Linked DNA regions of Mytilus edulis. The protein of the gene in region 2 purifies or fractionates together with the protein of the main gene of each other region. This does not show direct contact. Links are inferred from orthologs where the notes say so. Each region holds a gene or a part of one and is shown on either strand. Other genes may lie near its edges.

Region 1 (6,832 bases), on a different chromosome or scaffold from region 2:
CATCCCACTTGTCAGGGACAGTTTATACTTAGTTAGCATAGACTGTTCCTGCACGTATGAAACATGATGCAATCCTGTTGCCAACTCGACCCACTTATGAAAAGGAGTTGTATTCCATTGATTTAAGGTGGTATGGGTGTCTTTCGCTATCTTGGATTGTAAAAAAACAGAGAATCTAAGGTCTAGATTTTCAATCAAGTTAGCAAAATTTGATGCAGGAATGCAGTTAACAAATATGAATTTGCATTTCAAAGAACAAATTTATAAGCTTATAACTTATAAATTTTAATATTTTTACAAGTATAAATGAATTCAGTTTGATTAGTTTTTTTTTTTTTAAATTGGCATTTTAAGGGGAGATAACTCTGAAATAGTGCTTTTTCGGATGGAATCTACATGGAATTTTGCTATTTTGAATTCTAGCCGGGAAAAAAACACACGGTGACCCTATCTTTTCTTTTGATATTCTAAAAGCATTTTCTAAAAGATATCTTCTCGAATTTTATTTCACAATGCTAACATTTAGTTTAGCTTCAAATCACATAATGATGATTTATTCTGTATAATCCATACAAAAGGTGTCATTTTGTCATAACCTGTAGCTTGAGAAAATGTGCGGTGATCTATCATTTTTGTTATCGGGAGAAAGGAAGAAAGACCAATCACAATTTGTTATATATTTGTTTTTCTCTTTTTTAATTACATAAAAAAAATAACCCTTTCAAATATAGAGTTCATAAGATACAAATATTCCCTGTGGACCCCCCCCCCCCCCCCCCCTTTTATTTGTGCTCTGTATTTTCAACCCTCGAATTAAGCTTTCGAATCTAATTAAAATTAAAACCTTGCTTTCTAACCAATCTATTCATGTACCGGACCGGCAACTTTCTTTATTTAATACGAAAATCTACAGTGCCGTTATACACATGCATGTTGTTTGCTTGGAGTCTCCGCCCGAAAAGAAAGAAATAGTCTAACTCCAAGATATAATATTTCTGCATCACGTGATTTTTACCATGTGGAGCTTACATTTGAATAAATACCGAATATGGAAAGTGAAACTACAATTCAAAACATAAAGTCGGAAGGCACAAATAAGAAAAAGAAAGGATTTTTTTGGCAAAAGGTGCAGGTAAATTCTCTCCGTGTTCAAAATATACATGAAATATTTGCCACTGCCCCTTTTCTGTTCTATGAATTCTAACCTATCTGTTACTCCATGCCAAGAAATCCTCGCTAAAAATTCCGGTCGACCCCCTACGGCAGTCATTAGTAGCTAAAGATTTGATTTCATTGAAGAAATTAATTTATGACCTTCATGTACGTGTTGCTTAGAACACAGCTATATACCAAATGGTCAATATTAATCATCCATGTAATTTGCCCTATGGAGTGTTTGCAGAATTTCAACGGAGGCAATTTCTTGGCATGATTTTTGAACATATATCAATAGACACTACGTTTTGACAAAGTATGAACAAATTCTATCATTTTTAATTTAGACTCCCATACCACTTTTAATGAAGCCAACTCGACCCACCGTACGAATAAAACAATTAAACTGTACAGAATTGAGGCCTACCTAGTTGCCCCAATTATGAATTAAATGAATATTTATGAATAATGTAGAAATGCATCTCGGTTATTGTAAGGTAGATGGAGTGTCTAAATTATAATCCACTAGAACACACCCGTGATATCACGGGTCCGTGACTGAATTAAAGTATATAACTATGTGCAAGCCTTATTTTAGTATTAGTATTGTCATCTGATAAAGTCATACCGATTATAAGATACACATGCAGTTTTTCTCTGCTTTCAAGTCTTTCTGTTTGAACCCGTCGAACTGAAACAATAATATTAATTATTTGGAAAACAAAAGGTCCTGGAATGAAGTATTCTTTAATCAATAGCATTGTCCTATATAAGTTATAAATAAAGGTTGAATTCTTTGCTTCGCTGTTTTACGTCATGCCCACTAACAAATTGAAAACTGTACCTATACGCCTTATTTTTAGTCCAGATTTTTAGTATTCGTATTGTTATCTTAAAAAGTCTTACTGATTAAAATACTACAATAGGTAACAATTTGACAATTTAGTAGTGTCAACCCTGTGGTTATGACCCGTGTATATAGCATATTAATCCTGAATACAACGTTTGGTGGTGCGCCTGTCAAATGCGGAACGTACAGATAAGGTAATAGGTAACAGGTGAATATACTATTGATATCGGTAGCGGACTCGACCCGGAACTTCTTAATTATTGGCAATATTAATTACGTGGAAAACAAAAGGGCCTGGAGTGGTGTAATTTTTAATCTACACCTTTGTACAATATAAGTTATATATAAAGTTGAATTCTGTGATTCGTCGTTTTTACGTGATGAAGGCTGACAAATTGGACCTCGTAATTTTAGTATTATAGATAGATTTTTTTTGATAATTTGCCAAAATGTAGTTTATATTCTGCTTGTTTAAAAACCTTCATAAAAATAATGGGTCACGGCACTTATTTTCATACTACAGGTTGTGCAAAATTGGCAGATTTTGTATAGATTATGATGGAAAACCCAATTTTCCGCCATAAAACCAAAACTACACCATATAATTTTGAGATAAAATATGAGAACATAGCTCCAATATTATGCTTTCAGATAAGAAAAAGAAAAAACAGGCGGTCACCGGACTCATTTTTTTGCTACATACTAAAATGGGTAAATTCCTAACACAGTCTATTGTAAAAGTAACATTATTTGAATTATCTGCCCTTGCATTTGAGTTGCCTTCCCTTATTTGGCAAAGTTGGGGAAAAAAATGAATCAAACAAAAGTATTCGTGTTTTTGTAAAATACAACCATAAAGATGATTAAAACATGGTATTTTTCTGTATCATAATGAACATTCTTACACATGAATTACCTACTACTCTCAAAATTTGCACATTTTATCAAAGATCTAGACCTTGATTCCTGGTATTTCAAATTCCAAGATGGAGGATACACCTTATCTACCTTAAACTCTTTAGGTTGGAAGAGAGCAGACATGAGTAAGTATCAGCATTTCTGGAACGTACAATGTTATTGACTATAGGAACTGTTTATGATTTTTTTCCTGGTAAATATAGGGTCTGGAAAGGGGGGGTCTGTTATTCTGTAAACCTTTAATTTTCACCCCTTTTTTCTCTAATCATTAAAAAATTAATCCCTTTTTTCTCTAATCTTCATAAAATTAACCCCTTTTTTCTCTAATCTTCATTTTTTATGCCCGTTATTCTCTAATCTTCATTTTTTAAGGGAATTATTCTTTAATCATTTAACCCCATCCAAACCCTCATATTATCACTGTTTTACATATTTACAAGTCAAGAATCATCATGATAAAATATCATCATGTATTTTTACACATTTTTTTCTCAGATGAAAGTTTTGCACAATAAATCAATTATGACAAACACTGTCATGATTACACCAATGATTTGTATCGTTCTTACTATACAAATCTTTGATTACACAAAAAGAAGTACTAGATAAAATGTCAACACTAGAAACAAGAACATAGATACACAAATATGGTATACAACAGATAAGTTTTCATAAAAGTGAGGCTGAGTTGGCAGACATTAATCATGTTATTATATGGATTTTACACATTTTGATAAATGCAGTGAGTAAGCAGAAGTAAATTTAACGGGATTTAACCTCATTTTGAAAGTGGGGCGAGTTGGTGCAAAAGTGGAGCGAGTTGAGTTGTATTACTTCCATCTCATTGGTCCGTTGTTGTTGATTATTTCCTAGACATTTTTATGTTGTATTAGGCTATACCTGCGCATCTGAATCCGGCGATTTTCTTTTAAAAATATAATCCTCTATTTAACACCTAATTTTATAACAATTTTGTGCTTTATAAACTAAGATTTAACGTTGTAAGATTTCAAACATAGAACTCATTGCAAAATCTTATCCATTATTATTTGTTCAGAAACTACAATTTTTGGGATAAAGCGCAAGGTTACAACTTGAAATTGACGTGGCCGAAAAACCGTCAGCAGATACGTTCATTACTTCAATATTTGTCAACACTAGTATTCAAAACAGCTTTCGTTCAACATGGTAGGACATTCACTAAGTTTCTATAACATTGTCAGACATTCTTATTGCTCTCAACAATGAATATTTTACTCGCTAGAGCCTGATCAAACCCAAACCACTTACCGGCATCCTTCATATTTTTTCTCCACAACAACAAACCGAACCTCATTTTTGCTTTATTATACTGTAAACATATTGCATAACGTAATGTATCTATAATTGGATTCTATCACTAGCAATATGGAATGAGCACAGATTCGTAAAACATGTAAAAAATACTGGGATATCAAAAAGTTTTCAAAATTGAAGCCAATGAAGGACATAACGTCATAAGATACATGTACTGTTGGACATGTAACTATAAAGGAAGAATAAAAACTAGTAGTAGTAAACAAAAGAATGCACCACTATTGTATACCTTTGTCAATTTTGTATGATCTGTACCAATCATATTCATTAGTGTCATTCCTTAGGCTTAAGGATTATGTACCCTTGTGTTGATTTAATGCCACACATATGGAAATTTTATAGAAAACGCACAGCCTTTCCCTTTGTACTCTCATGTTTGGTAATTCTATGGTTGATAGATAGAGAATTATTGCATGCAGTGCTATCAAGAATTTCCTTAAAACAAGTTTATAGGTTAGATATTGGTTAAAACAAATATAGATATCCACCATATCAAGTACACCTTCTACGGTGCACTTGACTTTAGTGACTCAACACAAGGTGTTTTGGAATTTAAAGGTTGTTTAGGACATCATAGAAAAACAAGTGAGTAATCTATGGTCAAAATTTTATTACATTAATCTCTGTATTGAAGTCTGTGGATTTTCTACAAAAATCTTGGTTTTATTTTCACCAAATCCTCTTTTTCTACTAAATGCAACTAAACTTAAAATGATAAGGCTTTGCACAAGTTTCCCCTTGGTATATGTACAAATTGCATATCTCTATTAATAATTATCTTTGCTGTTTTGATACTATTGAAACTATTGCAGTTTGAAAATTTCGTAATTCTCAGGACACAGAAGGGTTCATAAACCTTAAGAATGTAAGAATACCCATGAATTTATTGGACAATCAACTATATTTTTCTTTCTTTTATCTAGGTGCTGCTTGCTGCAGCTGTATGTAACAAGTCTGGAAAAGGTTGGTTTATTTTTTATAATTCTTAATTAATTAAGACACCAAAATGTTTATATCTGTATATTTTACAAGAGAATTGAGATAAAGCATAAAGCATAAAAGATTTATTTAAAGTCGGTTATACATATAACAATACAACATAAGCTCTGTAGAGCTTTTATCCGACATACATATAAGACAAGCACAATACATAAAACACATAAAACATGCAAAATAAATAATGTTATCAAGCACAACAATTAATTAGCACAATTAAAGCATATAAGCAAACATAAAATGCAGATAAACTAACATTCATGCAATAGCAATTATAAAGCACTAAAAGTAATTCAAGCATTAAGAACACAAATAAAAAAATTATGCCAAATAATTTAAAAGCCAGAGTATACATGATAAATAAATAAACTGATCTACAGCTCATTGAGATCTGCAGGAGGAACACTGACACGAACTGCCCTCCCAATTACCAACCAAACTTTTAAACTGAGAAATTTAATACTTGTTTTTATTGAATTTTACTATCATTTAAATTATAAAAAAAAAGGTAAAAGGTAAGTGCTATCATTTTAATTATTAAATTAATTGATTAACTACATTTATATAATATATATTATTACATCTCATACAAGTTTCATACAATTACATAATTTAAATGAATTTTCAAGATTGTAGCCTGACATCGTTATTGTAATACATGTAAGAATTTAATGCTTCGTCTCTTTGATAAATAATGTGCTGTACACCCTGATGTAATTACAAAATGAAGAATGAAATTAATACTTATAAGACTTTTTCAGCGTTAATTTCCCGTCAATTTGTGGAAATGACGAGGTCAAGAATAGAAGGCTTGCTTGCAGCTTTTCCTAAGTTGATGAGTTCAGGAAAACAACATACTTTTGTTGAAACAGAAAGTGTGAGATATGTGTATCAGCCTCTAGAAAAACTTTATGTTCTATTGATAACAACAAAAGCTAGCAACATACTAGAAGATCTGGAAACATTACGTCTGTTTGCACGTGTGGTAAGTTTGAAAAAAACTTTATGATCTATCAATAACAACAATCGCTAACAACATACATGTTCCTGAAGATCTTGGAACATTTGTCTGTTTGAACATGTGGTAAATTAGAAAACTTTATGTTCTATAAATAGCTATCAACATACTAGAATATCTTAATAAAGTGTCGTTTGGCAGGGCAAGTAACTTAATAAAGAAAAAAACTTCTTTCAATAAGTATCACTCACACAAAAAGATGTTGTGTGTGGGGGGGGGGGGGGGATAATACTTTTCATGTGATAGATTTGCTTGGATTACACCTTATTATTTTAAGGAGCATTTTTGATGGCATTGCAAAGATCTAGATAAATAGCAGAATTGAATATTTGTTAACAACTTGACATGCGTTAAAAAGTTAACTAAATGCATAACAAATATCTATTTTTATTTTTTTATTTTCTTCAGATACCAGAATACTGCAGAAATATGGAGGAGGCTGAGATTGGAGATCAGGCATTTTCTCTTATCTTTGCTTTTGATGAAATCGTAGCTCTAGGTTATAGAGAAAATGTAAATCTTGCTCAAATCAGAACATT
Region 2 (7,735 bases):
GGATTCAAAATTCCAAATGTGTACATTTCCATTGTATAAACTGGCTAACATCCATGGCTCTGTAGGGTGCAAGTCCACAGATTTGACACGATCAGACCTAGCTGACAGCTTCCGCTTTATATCCAAACGTAGCGGCTGAAAAGAATAATAAAAGTCAATAGTTATATACCTGAGATTCAAAATTCCAAATGACCACCTTGCCATCATACAAACTAGCCATCATCCATGGTTCAGTTGGGTGCAGACCCATGCTTTTAACACGATCTGATCGGGCTGTCAAAACCCGCTTTATATTCAAACGTAACGGCTGCAATACATAATTCATTAGATATTAGATGTTGATCATGTTTAAGTAAGTATATGTAAGAATGAACAGTGTAGAGCTGTAAATACTAGATTTCATATTATTTTAATACTATATATCCTTTCAACTGTTGTTTGGTAGTTCCTTTTAACCCATCACAGAAGTTCTCCAGATACAAGAGTACTTTTTCCATAACAAGAAGAAGAAGCATGCACAAACTTAATAACATGACATAAGAAAGATACATACATGTACATGTAGAAGACCATTGTTAATTAGAAATATATTATTAAAATTTCTGGTTTTTAATATTATCAACATAGGAAAAGTGGGTGACAGAGATTGGATTTTTATATCCCATATCCATGGTTTCGTACCTCATGGACAACTTATATGTACAATGTATACCATTTCTTATCTCATCATGTTAGGTTTGTATGTTTACCATTTTTCACCTCATGGAAGTTTTGTATGTTTTATTGTTTATCATTTTAGAAGGTTTGGATACTATAGGCCTCGACAATAACGCTTGTCCGATACCAGAGGGAAAAAAGGTCGGACAAGTAAAAGCTGTATCAAGCTTGTCCGTTGGAACAAGTACAATTATTCTGCAGAAAATAAATTTCATCCAACTTTGATGAACAAAGTATAATAATAAACAAAAAACAAAAATTAGTTTGACATGTTTCTGTATTCTGTTTATTGAAATGCAAAACCTTTTTTTTAGCATGTTTACTTGCAATCGATAATTTTTAACTTGTCCTTTGTCAGGTACCTTTTAACAGGTGAAAGGTACTCAGTGTTCTCCCCAGGGCCTTTTAGCATCATGGTAATGTGATGCTATAATCTTAAATGTGATGCTATTTGAATTGGTTTTCTTATAGATTATGTTATGGATGTGATGCTATAAATTTCAGAAACAAGATGGTATTTTAATTTCCCCTATTTACCAGGATGCTAAATGAAATATCTGGGGAGAACACTGGTACATTATACTATTCTCGGAAACCAGCCTTACTGATCCGAATAATCAATGCTGGGTTTTGTAGACTAGGTAACTTTACAGGACAGTTCTCACTTCGACAGGTTTAGCTCAAAGTTTAATAGACAGTTTGGCACCGTAGGAGACAAATTTAGTGGAAATGATTGATAGACACTTTGGCAAGGCAGGAGACATTTCGGGACCAAGACAAATCAGTTCCTCATTTTCTTTCCTTATTCTGTTCTTTATAATAAATACCATACAGGTAATTTTTTCACAAAAATATTTTTTTTTATTTTCCATAATTTTTTGTATTAACCATAATTTCATAAAATTCACAAAATCATATTTGATCATAGGTAAAAAAAAAACAATACTTGCAAAATGGTGACCTTTAGTTGTTAATTTCTGTGTCATTTTGGTCTCTTGAAGAGAGTTGTCTCATTGGCAATCAGACCTTATCTTCTTCTTTTTATTGATTGCATTTGAATAAACTTTTTTCAACTTAAAAAAAAAACCAGGATACAAATCCAATGAGTGTACAGGCCTATCAGATGGTGCCTCATGTTTAGAGTCTGATGAGACAGCTGGCATTGATGAAAACTAGAACCTAAGTCCTGTGACATGACTAGATTCAGTTGTACTTGACTCATATTTTTGAAAAGTATTTCAAAAGAAATACATCAAATTCTGTTCTATTGTTTAAATTCGTTTTGTTCCTTTAATCAACTTAAAATGTAAAAAGGTTATTTTTTATTAAAAAAATTTGGACAAGTAACAATTTCATTGGGACAAGTAAGTTTTGGTATGTACTTGTCCTACTGGCATGACTGGACAAGTTGAAAAAAAAGTTATTGTAGAGGCCTGTACTATTTCATTGATGTATGTACTCCACATGCACTTATTGTACAATTACTCAATCATGATTAAATTAATAACATTCAAGCGTTTTTGAGTTATTGTCCAACAAATTGACGACGGAAGGACAGACAACAGTATACCATAATACGTCCAGTAAACGGGTGTATAAAAACAAACAGATTTGATATTTATTAAATATTACTATCATTTACCAAGACTGTTGGTAAATGATACAAAATAGTTAACATGTATTTAGTTCATGAGGGACAAATTGATAGATGCTTTGGCCCATAGGCATAGGGTACGAAATACACCTTATCGCTATTTGTCTGCCATTACTGGATATCACACAGGTTCCCGTAAAATTTTGATGTCATAAAACAATATATCTGACGCCACAATGGAAAAGTGATTGTTCTATGCGTCAAAAGTTCAAGCGGCCGGGTCAGCCAGGATTAGCGATAAGGTGTATGGCAGTGCCCCAGTGGTACAAAAATGATTAGCTTACAACCAATAATGCATTATGATTATGACCACATTTCATAAATGACTATCAAATTAGTGTCGTTCTGCTTTACACTTAATGTCTAATTGCAATAATTTTCGGTAACCTACAAAATATGTAATGTTAAAAAATGTGTCAACAATGGTCCATATCCCCCCTTTTCACATTAAACGTTGATCTTTACTATATTTCGCCCCTAAACCTGACAGCTACTACATATCGAGAAGCTCATGCGTTATAAAATTCTAAAATAGTTATTCGTTACCATTCTCTTGGGTTATAAGTTTGTAAACAAATAAGTTTCGCCGGTTCAGTTTCAACCTGGATGAAGAGACGTGTCCACAGTGAATGCGCAAGCGTGACCGGACTCGGAAGTTAAACATGATTTGTTTGAAAATGGCCGCCAAACAAGCTTAGACATACCAATATTTTTATACTTATGCATTGTGTACATCGTGAATAGCAAGTTGTCATCAAAGACATAACCATTTTATTGTAAAAGCAAAACTGAATGGTTACGCATATTTAAGGAGTTAAAACAACACTTGGCAAGAATTCGAAGTATACTGTCGTAATTTGTAAATTCTTGGTTCCAACTTAATACAAATTACAAGGAAATTATACATATACTTCAGATATAGTCAAAATGAGAATAAGTGGTCTTGTTCCAGCAAGATTTCTCACAATTGTCGCCCATCTTGTGATAGTCATAGTTTTATTTTGGTCAAAAGTAAGTAAACTTTACACAATAATACTGTTTACAATACACCTTATCGCTATTTGTCCGCCATTGCTGGAAATCACACAGGTTCCCGTAAAATTTTGACGTCATAAAACAAAATGTCTGACGCCACAATGGAAAAGTGATTGTTGTTGACGTCAAAAGTTCAAGCGGACGGGTCAGCCGGGAATAGCGATAAGGTGTATACACCTTGTCTCTATTTTGTAATTCACCTTATCGCTATTTGCCCGCCATTACAATTTACTGGACATCATACAGGTTCACGTAAAATTTTGATGTCATAATACAAAATATCTGACGCCACAATGGAAAAGCGATTGTTGTATGACGTCAATAGTTCAAGTGGGACAGATTCTGGGGTCAGACGGGATTAGCAATAAGGTGTATCAGGTCCGTTCGCGCCCAATACACTTTCGCACCCTACACGTCTGCTCCTCGCACGTTCGCACCCAAGGTCTGTTCGCACTCTACATGTTCACGCCCAATTTTAGATCAAATTCCAGTTGAATAATTAGAAAATCATGATTGTTGTTTTAAACTGCATAGGTATTTAGCTTAGTAAAATGTATGAGTAAAACATTGAAGATTTTAAATGAAAAACACAAAAGATAATTGTTTTTAACAGCTTGGTCCCTTTGATCTGAAACAATGAAACAATAAAATATAGCAATACACTATTATCATGATTAGTGTATCGCTGTAACTTTGTTTCAATCATTGACTTAGGCCATAATAAATAAAAGGTTTGTTTGCCCAAACACTACCTACCAAGAAAAAAAGCTGCCTACTCAAATTCTTTTATTGTCCTGATTTAAATGATAAAATTTATTCAACACACAAAAAGAAAACGTAGTTAGAATTTCACTTTATTTTGAAACAAGGCCAGACTTAAAAATATTTTGGTTTGCCCAAACCCTACCCAAAGGTTGAGACAGTGGGTAGGTAGGTAGGCATTTTTTTTTCTTTCAAAAAAAGAAATTGAAGTATCAGATGTTAATTAGTCTTCATGCCTATTTGATAAAAAAAAAAAACTTCTTCAAATCAGGACAATAAAAGAATTTGAGTAGGCAGCTTTTTTTCTTGGTAGGAAGTGTTTGGGCAAACAAACCTTTTATTTATTATGGCCTAAGTCAATGATTGAAACAAAGTTACAGCGATACACTAACCAAAACATGATTAAGAGTTATTCAGCACAAAATAAAACGTTGACAGATTCCAACATTATTTAGAAAGGATTGTTATTTTTTTTAACAATACACTATCCAAATGAGATTTATTCAACACAAAAAATAATGCTGTCTCACTTTATAATGAGACAATGACAACAAATATTCTGATAGGAATACACTTTCCAAAACTTGATTACAAAGTTGTTAAACACAAAACCAATAAAAATTGGGCGCGAACATGTAATGTGCGAACGGACTTTCAGTGCGAACATATAGTGTGCGAAAGTGAAAGGGGGCGATCATGAGTGGGTGCAAACGTGAATGGGCGCGAATGGACCCGGATTCGTATCTGTCCAACCTGCAGTGATTTTGCTAGTGTTCCATCATTTCGTCATTCACAAAATGGTTTTCAAAATGTTGAAAGGATTTCAAATCAATTTCGTCTCTTAAATCATGACATGTTTGAAGGTCTAATAATATTTTTGTATAAAAAATATAATTGTGTTCAAGTTTCTGGCCCTGAGCCGGTAATTAACATTTACATTTGTACAACAGGTGTTACAAGTTGTGATTTGTAACAGCTTATCCGCTTATCACCATCCGATTGGTCACTAATGGATCATATTTAACCACAAATATAATTATGATAATTAACCTTCTTATAATAATTGTTTTCCCCAGAAAAATCAGTCAGTCAGCATTTGAACAACCACAATGTAGTACGTTTAGTCATTTCATGAAAATTGTTTTCTTCCAGACAGTTCAAATTTGAATTTCAATATTCCTCAAACAGTAACAAACTTTTTGAAGTTTCTATGTCATTGTATGTCATGTATGTACAATGTAGTTTCTTTATTTGAACGTATTTTCGACAAAATAAATTTAATATTGAAAGTCAATGTCATCTATTCTTCATTTTTTTTTACAACCTCCTTACAGTCATTTTAATCACTCTAATGAGTATTTGTACAAATCCTTAGTTCCAATTTACATGATTTATAAGAATTGTTTTCATGCCCCACCTACGATAATAGAGGGGCATAAGCCGCATTATGTTTTCTGGTCTCTGCGTCCTTCCGTCCGTCCGTCTGTCCGTTTGTCTGTTCGTCCGTCCGTCCCATTTCAGGTTAAAGTTTTTGGTCAAGGTAGTTTTTGAAGAAGCTAAAGTCCAATCAACTTGAAACTTAGTACACATGTTCCTTATTATATGATCTTTCTTATTTTAAAACAAAATTAATCTTTTGACCCCATTTTCATGGTCCACTGATCATGAACATAGAAATTAAAAGTGTGAGTTTCAGGTTAAAGTTTTTGGTGAAGGTAGTTTTCAATGAAGTTAAAGTCCAATCAACTTGAAACTTAGTACACATGTTCCCTTTTGGTTGATCTTTTTACTTTTAAGGCCAAATTTGATTTTTTACCCAATTTCACGGTCCATTGAACATGGAAAATGATAATGCGAGTGGGGCATCCGTGTACTTGGGACACATTCTTGTTTTTCAAATTTCGATTTTATTGTTTTATAAGGATAGTGAGACATTCATTTCTGCTGTGATTCCTGGTGTAAAAAAATGAAATCAAACTTTTAATGGAAAAAAAAGAAGTTAAATTGTGACTTAGATTTCCGGATCCCATATCAGTTTATCTTTATGTAGGCCAAACCAGTCAAATCATGCAATAACTGCAAAGCATGTCCAAGTCCTTCAAAGTCTGACAAGGATGTATACATGTAGCTGGTAATATTGATACTGTTACACAAAATAAGGTTACATTAATTTTCATATCATGACCGGAGAATCTGTCTCGCTTGAACTTTTGATGTCATACCACAATCACTTTTCCATTGTGGCTTCAGATATTTTCTATTATGACGTCAAAATTTTATAGGAACTTTTGTGATGTCCAGTTAAGGCTGATAAATAGTTATGAGGTGTATAATGTCAATCAGTCAGGACTAACTTAAATGAGTGATTTTCTAAATCACTGAATCAATTAACATTATGTCCAATCTACAAATGTTGGAAGTAAGAGTTTTCTTTCTTTTAGTCACCCTTAAGATAGTAGTACAAATTATCACTAGACTAAGTGATTTAATTTTATTGTAGCTTTAAATATACAATACTAATGATCAAGGGACTAAATACATATGTATGTTGCTAAAATTATCAGAAACAACATCTGTATTGATAGGATGGCTGGTCGGGCGCAGGACATTTGAGGGAAAAAATTAAAACTACTAGGGGACATTCGAGCGGCTACATTAGAGCCCATTTAAGCACTGGATAAATCCGGTCACCTGTATTTTCGATAGCCCATTTTAGCGAAAAATTTACCTGTTTTAAGCTCACCTGGCCGAAAGGCCAAGTGAGCTTTTCTCATCACTTGGCGTCCGGTGTCCGTCGTTGTCGTCCGTGGTCCTTCGTCGTCCTGCATTAACTTTTACAAAAATCTTCTCCTCTGAAACTACTGAGCTAAATTTAACCAAACTTGGCCACAATCATCATTGGGGTATCTAGTTTAAAAATTGTGTCCGGTGACCCAGCCAACCAACCAAAATGGCCCCCATGGCTAAAAATAGAACATAGGGGTAAAATGCAGTTTTTGGCTTATAACTCAAAAACCAAAGCATTTAGAGCAAATCTGACATGGGGGTATTATTGTTCATCAGGTCAAGATCTATCTGCCCTGAAATTTTCGGATGAATCGGACATTTCGTTGTTGGGTTGCTGCCCCTGAAATGGTAATTTTAAGGAAATTTTGCTGTTTTTGGTTATTAGCTTGAATATTATTATAGATAGAGATAAACTGTAAACAGCAATAATGTTCAGCAAAGTGAGATCTACAAATAAGTCAACATGACCAAAATGGTCAGTTGACCACTTTAGGAGTTATTGCCCTTTATAGTCAATTTTTAACCATTTTTCGTAAATCTTAGTAATCTTTTAGAAAAATCTTCTCCTCTGAAACTACTGGGCTAAATTTAACCAAACTTGGCCATAATCATCATTGGGGTATCTTATTTAAAAAAATGTGTCCGGTGACCCGCCCAACCAACCAAGATGGCCGACATAGCTAAAAATAGAACATAGGGGTAAAATGCAGTTTTTGGCTTATAACTCAAAAACCAAAGCATTTAGAGCAAATCTGACATGGGGTATTATTGTTCATCAGG

What was found.
Region 1: the proteins of coatomer subunit beta'-like (region 2) and coatomer subunit delta-like fractionate together in Homo sapiens (co-fractionation; 5 studies listed by BioGRID and IntAct, with this or other methods). This does not show direct contact. The link is inferred for Mytilus edulis from reciprocal best matches to the Homo sapiens genes COPB2 and ARCN1.

What each region holds. Positions count from the first base shown.
Region 1 is NC_092348.1:7,123,586-7,130,417, forward strand, and holds the start of coatomer subunit delta-like, read left to right. Parts: upstream 1-3,819; 5' UTR 3,820-4,108; coding exon 4,109-4,111; intron 4,112-5,202; coding exon 5,203-5,242; intron 5,243-6,036; coding exon 6,037-6,260; intron 6,261-6,701; coding exon 6,702-6,832. UniProt on the Homo sapiens protein: Component of the coatomer, a cytosolic protein complex that binds to dilysine motifs and reversibly associates with Golgi non-clathrin-coated vesicles, which further mediate biosynthetic protein transport from the ER, via the Golgi up to the trans Golgi network.
Region 2 is NC_092356.1:64,947,748-64,955,482, reverse strand, and holds the start of coatomer subunit beta'-like, read right to left. Parts: upstream 3,007-7,735; 5' UTR 2,921-3,006; coding exon of another isoform or gene 2,918-2,920; intron 308-2,917; coding exon of another isoform or gene 208-307; coding exon 1-207. Other genes in the region: transmembrane protein 107-like, read left to right, coding at 3,299-3,382. UniProt on the Homo sapiens protein: The coatomer is a cytosolic protein complex that binds to dilysine motifs and reversibly associates with Golgi non-clathrin-coated vesicles, which further mediate biosynthetic protein transport from the ER, via the Golgi up to the trans Golgi network.